2 linked regions of the Oryctolagus cuniculus genome follow. The protein of the gene in region 2 purifies or fractionates together with the protein of the main gene of each other region. This does not show direct contact. Links are inferred from orthologs where the notes say so. Each region holds a gene or a part of one and is shown on either strand. Other genes may lie near its edges.

Region 1 (3,912 bases), on a different chromosome or scaffold from region 2:
CTGTGTAATTTTAACCTTTCAAGGAAACAGAAAATGGCATCTGATTTTTTTTTTGTAGTCTAGTTTTTTAAATTATTTTTGCTTCATCTAGAATATCTAAATAGAAACTTGAAATAGCCTTTTTATATATACATAATATCACATTAAAGTCTTACTCTTTCTGGAAGGAAATCAAAATCTGATTATACATTGAGGAAACCAAAACAGAATAGTTTATAGTTTATTGAATTTCCTATTTCAGAAGTAAGGGGCATGTTCTCCTCTGATAAGGAACCATACATGTAGGCATATAATGATCATTTTCTCCCCTTTTGTAATGGGTGAGGAGGAGGAGGACTGGATTTCCAGTTGGTATCTATCTTTTCTGTAGAAATAATAATAGCTAAAAATTACTCAGCATTATGTGTCAGACATTGTTCGGTGGGTTTTATGTGTAGTAAGTTATTTGTTCTTCGTTCTTGCCTCTGAGGGAAAGAGTCTTACTTTCATAGATGAGGAAAAGGTAGTCAGAATACAATTTTTTTTGAAAATACTGTTTTATTAATACCACAGTGGTAAACAACTTTGTTTCTTTATAGATCTCTTGCTCACACATAATTCAAAACCCACAAAGAAGCTAAGTCTTTATGTGAAATGCCTTCTTCCTAAAAGTCCTTCCTGTATGCCAGTCTATCCTCAAGCAGTAAAATTCAATTATGCACCATTTTATATTCAATATTTCACATTTACATAGCAAAATAATGAAGGCACAGCTAATACAAGCAAACTTAAACCCTTTATAATTCTGAGCTGGGGTAAGGGCACACATTTAGATTGGTTCTTCAAGTATATATTTTTTCCAAACGTTAGCTTCATTGAGGAGTTCTAAAAGCTACTTGACAGAAAGCCTTCACAAAGATCAAACTATGTAACACTGGATGGATACACATGCTTTACAGGATATGCTACGTTCTACATCTCTTCGAGTAAATTAACACTTCTGAAATACTAGGGGACGTGATTCAAATACTTAAACGTCGGGGGGTATCTTTAAATCTTCATAAACAAGACACTACCCAGAAAAGACATCAACATGTCGGAACTGAGGAGAACAAATGTCAACGACATTATACAGGTTGGACACTCTCCCTTCTGGGAACACACCTCTCTCAGTATTCAGAACTCAAGACGTGGTCAGGATCCCACCGCCGCCTCACTCTCCCCTGCAGTGCAAAGCTGCTGAGGTCTGGCTTACGGAAACCAGGGCTCGAAGGTGGTGTTTTCTGGGCTCTGCCTTCAGCACTGGGCAGTGTCGGGACCAGAAATGCAAGGATGAAGCGCTGAGTCGGGGCTCCGGCTGGGCTGGGTGCTGTGCAGTGCGCGCGGTACAAAGCCCGCGCTGAGGAGCCGCTTCCAGCTCCAGACGCCTCTCCTGCCTCAGCCGCGACCCTCGCAGCGGAGAGAAGCCAAGCCAAGCAAAATCGACGGAAGCTGAAGTCGGCTTTCTTGGATACCTTGCGAGATATTTACTGTGGTCCCAATTGGAGTCGGATTGGAAACGGGCTGGCCAGGATCTGATTGCTGCCTTTTGAATCTATTTTAGAAATGTGAGGATAAATTCACATTGTATTTTGGTCCAAAAAACTGAGCCTTTTTAAAAGTCCACCAATACAGTATTAAAAGTCATCATAATAACACGAATGGGGTTGGTCTGTCGCCGGCTCTCCGCGTCTCGGCACCGCCGTCCCCTTACTTCTCGGCGTCCTCAGGCACCTCGGCGTGGGGGTGGGAGTCGCGTGCGGCCGCCGCCGCCCCCTCCACCTCCACCTCCTCCTGCTCACCCTCCTCCGCATCTTCGTACTCCTCCTCGTCCTCCTCCTCCCCTTCCAGGGTCCAGGCACAGCTCTTCACCTCGCTCCTGAGCTCTTGGACCTTGGCGAGGAGGGGCTTACAGATCTCGCTATACTTCCTTTCCAGTGCATGAAATTCCTTCTGGTACTTAGCTTCTATCTTACTGCACTGTTCCTGTAGCTTTTTAAGGGCCAGCACCCGGCATTTCACGGAGTTTGGCAGGCTCTCCATAAAGTCGCTCTTTGGCTTTGGCGTGTTCTCCACAGGGGTTTGGGTCTCCTGAGCAGCAGTGCTGTCAGAATCGCCGGGCGCACCGTCGGGGTCGGCGCCATCACCTTCGGACATTATTTTGTTCGCTGCTGCCGCCAGGCTCGGCTCCGCAGGGCTGTGGTCGGCCATGTTCAAAGTGTTGCCGCAGAGGTCTATGCTGGCTCCCACAGTGGCCGCGCAACCCATCTGCTTGGCAGAGGTGGCGGTGAAGAAGCCCGCGCTGGGTTAAGTCAGCCGCGGCCCCGCCCCTCCCCCCCCTCCCCCCACGCAGGCACACACCTGACTGGCTGCGGGCTGTCAGGTAACATCCGTGAGCTCCTACTGGGGTAGATCGCGCTGACCGCCCGCCTGTCCGCCCGCATTGCCGCCACCCTCGCCTGCACCTCCCTCAGCCAACCCCACCATCCGCCCCTGCGGAGTGGGGCACCCTGTGGGTGCCCGCGGCACTTGTCCCACTGCTGGACACCTGGCCGGTTAACCCCTAGTTTCCGTGCATTCCCACTCTCATCAAAACCTTGGGCACACGTGAGCTTCACAAATTTCCTGGAAAATGGAATTTCAAATGGGCACTTTTCCATGAACTTTTTGAAGCCCCCAGCACGCTGTGTCTTTTATTGGCTGTTTTTCACATCTCGCTGTAGTAAGCCTTGCCTGGGTGATAGGTCATTTCTACCTGTGGACTCCGCCTTTCTCCCCTCTCTGATTCCTCCACATTCATTTCCAGAGAGTGGAGACGCGGGAAACCTGGCTCCTTTCTGACCCTTTGGGAATCTGGTGTGCAAGAGTGTATACTAGGCAGTGTGCATTTCCAAGCCTCGTCGTGCCCATTAGTCTACCTGACTGCCTCCGTTGGCCATCTCAGACCTAGAGGCAAATGTCCTAGTGACACCAAGTGTCTCTTGGTGGGACCGGCCCTGCAAGCAGTTTTGGAGCCATCTGAGTAGGAAATCTCAGAGTTCTGAGTCCTGGTGTACATTCTAGAAGGTGTTTAGCCCTTGGGGAGGTCTGTAGCATGGGTCTTAGGACAAGGTCAGTTGAAGCTCGTGTTTAGTGTCTTAGGGACACACAGGCATGTGTCTGTACACACAGCCATTGTCCTGGAGGAACACTGCAGTTCTGTGACTGCTCCATGTGTCTTGCTTGTAACTTGGCTCTGAAATCATGTAAACAGGGAATAGTTCTGTAGTAGCAGAACTTATCTTGTTTATTAAGTCAGTGTCAGGGCTTCTTGAATAAGAATTCATTTTTATTTATTTGTAGAGATTTGTATGTTGGTGTACACCCCAAGTGCCTACAAGAGCCAGGACAGGGCCAGGCCAAAGCCAGGAGCCTGAAACTCTGTCTTGGTCTCCCACGTGGGTGGCAGGATCCCAAGTAAGTTCTTGAGCCATCATTGCTGCCTCCCAGGATACACAACAGTGGGAACCTGGGTCAGAAACCAAAGTGGACTCTATTCCAGGCACTGGGGTACAGGATGTAGCCATTAACCATTGCACCAAATGCCTGGCTACGGAATGAAGAATTCCAGCACATGTGTTAGGTATGGCAGCAAATGGACTTTCCAGGGATCTGAGGAATACTTCCTCCTGTATTGGGATTTGCTGCAGCTTTACACGTGTGAATCTTTGCAAATAACTTTGCAACATACAGTTGGTGCTGTGTATCATTCTTGTGAATATTAGTGTGTAAATAACTTGGTGTTGACATGTAGCAGCAAGCTACATGAGTGTTTCACTTACAAAATGTAATATATAACTTGATGGGTATTTTTCAGTTTACAAAATGTTTTAGTATGCAGAGATAACCTACAGT
Region 2 (3,912 bases):
CTAGGTTCCTTCGTGTAAAGGAGGTTCTTTAATATTACTCTGCCCCTTCCTTTCTTTTCCATTCAGAGCACTCATCATAATTCAACATTTTATATCCCAGCAGCCATCATTTGCCTGTTTTGCTCAATTCAGATACATCGCCAAACAGGTGCTAAAATACTTAAAACTTAGAACTAAAGTAATTACAGTTTTGATTACAACTGAAGATCTGAAGTAATCCATCATTAGTATTTCCGCATTAGAATGAGGATTCATTCTTTCACTATACTTCAAATATCCAACCAAGCAAAAAATAAAACATTCTATTTCAACATCTTCAGACCTTGAAGTCCAATAGAACTCTTGCCTCTTTTAGCCCCTGCTCCTGTAAAAACGTTGTTCTGAATATATTTTAGGGAGTTTAGAATAAAAGCCTGAAGCTCATATGGGCAAGTAGAAAAACAAGTGAAAGCATTTTGATTCAATTAAGATTTGGGGGGGGTCATCATGAAAGGAAAAGCAGTTATGTGCCATTTTACTATTAGCTTGCCAATTAATGAGCCTAATATAAAAAGAAGGTACCATTCAACAGATAAAATTCACAAAATTTTCAAATTAGTATGGTGAAACTGTCAATTTAATAAATAGAAATTTAAAAACAATGTTGGCTTGAAAAGAGCATCTATTAAGTCAAGGTTTGATAACCTCAGATATCCAAGTCTACCTACTGATTAGTTCCATCTTTCCTCCAAAGGACCAATATTCTCAGAACTATAGTTTAGATTTAGGCCAATTACTTGAATTTAGGTAACTTCAAACATGCTTTAGTCACATGAGTCCCTAACAATCACCGAAAACCTCATTTAACCTCTCTCCACTTTATTCTATACACTAGCTTTTCCCTTGTCCAATCAAAGGTACTATGTATTATTTAAATTGACAAGAAAATAGGACTCAATACTGGCTTCAAAAGATGTTTTGATGCTATCTCTTTTTCAAAGATGACAAAATCCTGCAGCTCTCCTGAAACCGGGTAAGCAGTTTAAGTTGAGAATATAAAGGATAGCTGTGTTCAGAACTGATTAGACCAGGGGTAGTCTCACAGAGGGGCTCTGGGCATCTTTCCTAATACTCCGAAAGCCTAGCTCTATGAGAAAGGACCTCAGTGCCACCGCCCTCTACTGCAATCCCAAGATGTTTAAGGGAGTGGGGCACACTGACAAGGCGGCAGCGTACAACTAGGCTCACTCATTAACACCTCATTCCACCCCACACCCCTCCATCTTAAAAAGAAACCAGATCGTCAAGCATCTTGTTTGAGAAACTTCAATCAAGGAGCCAGTTTGCTACATTACAGGCCCTTTCTTTGCATCTCAGAACCGCTGAGGACCAACCTTCCCTAAAGAAAGCCCTGCACAAGACACTCATCTAAACGCCAACTGTACCTGGGATACGTAAACCAATCTTTTGTTCTAACAGCTCACGTGAGCGCTTTATAAGCGGGACTTACTCGAAAACCCAGCGGTGGGGACCTGCCCCACCAGCCTCCGACTAACATTCACACTTTCCTCCCGTACCAATAAAAAGATTATGAGCAAAAAAAAAAAAAAAAAAACCAAGGGGAGGGAGGGATGCCCCGGGCCAGCTTATTCACTCACTGTGGCTTGGCACATCCCACCCCTCCACAACTTGAGTAAGGTTAGGCAAGGACGAGGGTCTCCCGCCGGGCCCAGGAGGCGGCCACGCAGCCCATCACCACGTGTCGAGCGGAGCCGCGGGGGCTTCCCCTCCCAGCGCGGCCGCCGCCTCCAGTGGGCGGAGAACCCCGGAGCCTCGAGGCCGCCCCCGCCCCCTCCCCGCCTCGGGGACTCGGCCCTGCGCAGCCCCTCCCTCCCGTCGGAATTCGCAGCCTCCGCCGCTCTTTCCATCCCCCCCCCCCAGCGGCCTCCCGCCGGGCAGTAGTTGTGAGGGGGAAGCAGGGGCGGCGAGGCGGTGGCGCGGACACTGCCGCGCGGGCCCGACCCGCATTCCGGGCGCCTCCCGTCCCTCGCGGCGTGGCCTGCGAGCCCTCGGGACACCCGGGCGCGCCGCGGCCTCTCTTCCCCCTCCGCGCGGAGAAGCCGGTAGGGCTCGAGGAACCTCACCACCCCCCCACACACACAGGCCGCGCCGACCCCCGCGTCCCCTCGGCCGCCCCCAGGCCGGTCCCAGGGTCCCTCTCAGGTTACGCGGTCGAGACTCCGCGAGCGGCTCCGGCCTCACAGCGCGACCCGGAGGGGCCCCAAGCAGCCAGCGGCCTCCGCCCGCGGTTCCCCGTCCCTACGTCCCTGTGTCCCTTCCCTCCGCGCAGGCCGCCCGGCCCGGCTCCTCATTCCCCCTGCCCTTCCAGGCCCCCATCCGTTACCGGCGGCTAGTAGGGAGAGCCAGGCGACCGGAGCTGCGCAGGCAGTGACTCAGGGCGGCAGCGGCGGCGGGAGGAGCGGGAGGCGGCGCCGCGAGCAGATGGCGCTAAAAAAGACCCGAGAGCCCGCCGCTCGCGCTCATATACAATTAGCGTCAGCACGTAGGGCCCGCTCCGCCGCCCTCCCCCTGGCCTCGCCGTCTCCTAGCAACGCGGGCTAGAGGCGGGCCCAGGCCGGGTTGCCAAGTAACAGAACCGTCCTTCTTCCCCGGCGACCTCCGTAAGCTCGCTGTGATCTCTTCCTGCCCTCGCTGCACCAGCGCCGCGGTTGGGCTCTTCGGTTCCCGCCAGTTACTGTCTTCCTCCCTTGATTACGCACGCACCCCGCCATCTCTTTTTCTCCCCGCTGCGCTGGAAGGGAAATCCCAACCCCATCAGTTACTGGGAAGGGCGCTGACCCACGAGCCTCCTCCGCAGCGCGCCTCGCCCTCGGCGTCGTGAGTGAGGATGGAGACCGAGCCACCCGGTTCTGGACTCGCCACACCCTGGACCTCGAGATCTCTAGCTTCCACATCCCTGTCCCAATTCCTGCAACTCCCAGGCCCCCGGTAACCATTTTCCCTCGCCGCCTGAGAACAACAGTGCTTTCCTCGTGACCCCCCCCCCCCACCTTGGCGGCATCTTCTGCAGATTTGTCTTCAGGGGACCCCATATACTATGCCTCCGTCCCTTTACATGACAAACAGTGCCTCTTTGCTGCTTTCGTCCTTTTGACTGGTGAAAAAGGCATGTTTACGCGTACTCAGGATGCTTTTCAATGCTTTTGTCTTTCTGACAAAGCAAATCCTGTGCAAATCCTCAGGCTTTGTGAAACCTCAGCAATTTTTCAATTGATGCTGGGTTGTCTAAAATTCACTGTTAGGATGGTCATCCTCAAAGTGTGAGCTGAATGTCCCCAGAGCCTTTCAAGGGGAAGAGTGAAACCACTGGCACTGTAATACTGAGACATTGTTTGCCTTTGGGGCTCTTACTCTCCCACAAGTGTGCCTTTGCGTTTTCCAGAGGCTACAAGACATGTGACTGGGAAACAGACTGAAAGATAGGAGCAGACAGGAGAACCCAGTCATCTGTTGTTGAAGCAGACATAAAGACATTTGCAAGCATAAAACTGGGCCACTCCACTCGGATTTTGAGGTGGGGGGAGGAGGAAGTAGTTATTGTTCATATAAAAAGTTATTTCTGGGCCGATCTGTGGCACAGCAAGCTGAGCTGCAATCTGCAATGTAGGTTCTAGTCCCAGCTGCTTCACTTCCAACCCAGCTCCCTGCTAAGGTGCCTGGAAAAGCAGCAGAAGATGAGGCAGGTACCTGGGCCCCTGCCACCCACATGGGAGAGCACCATGATGGAGTTCCTGGCCCCTGGTTCCCAGCTGTGTCTGCCGTTCGGGGAGTGAACCAATGGGTGGAAGGTATCTCTGTGTCACTCTTTCACATAAATAAATAAATCTTGTTTTTTTATTGATTGATTAAGAG

Evidence for each region.
Region 1: the proteins of NAP1L1 (region 2) and NAP1L5 purify together in Homo sapiens (affinity purification with mass spectrometry; 3 studies listed by BioGRID and IntAct, counting the BioPlex papers as one, with this or other methods). This does not show direct contact. The link is inferred for Oryctolagus cuniculus from reciprocal best matches to the Homo sapiens genes NAP1L1 and NAP1L5.

The regions. Positions count from the first base shown.
Region 1 is NC_091439.1:76,946,336-76,950,247, reverse strand, and holds NAP1L5 (nucleosome assembly protein 1-like 5), read right to left. Parts: upstream 2,341-3,912; 5' UTR 2,287-2,340; coding exon 1,729-2,286; 3' UTR 524-1,728; downstream 1-523.
Region 2 is NC_091442.1:78,589,606-78,593,517, forward strand, and holds the start of NAP1L1 (nucleosome assembly protein 1-like 1), read right to left. Parts: upstream 2,890-3,912; 5' UTR 2,384-2,889; intron 1,761-2,383; exon of another isoform or gene 1,638-1,760; intron 1-1,637. UniProt on the Homo sapiens protein: Histone chaperone that plays a role in the nuclear import of H2A-H2B and nucleosome assembly.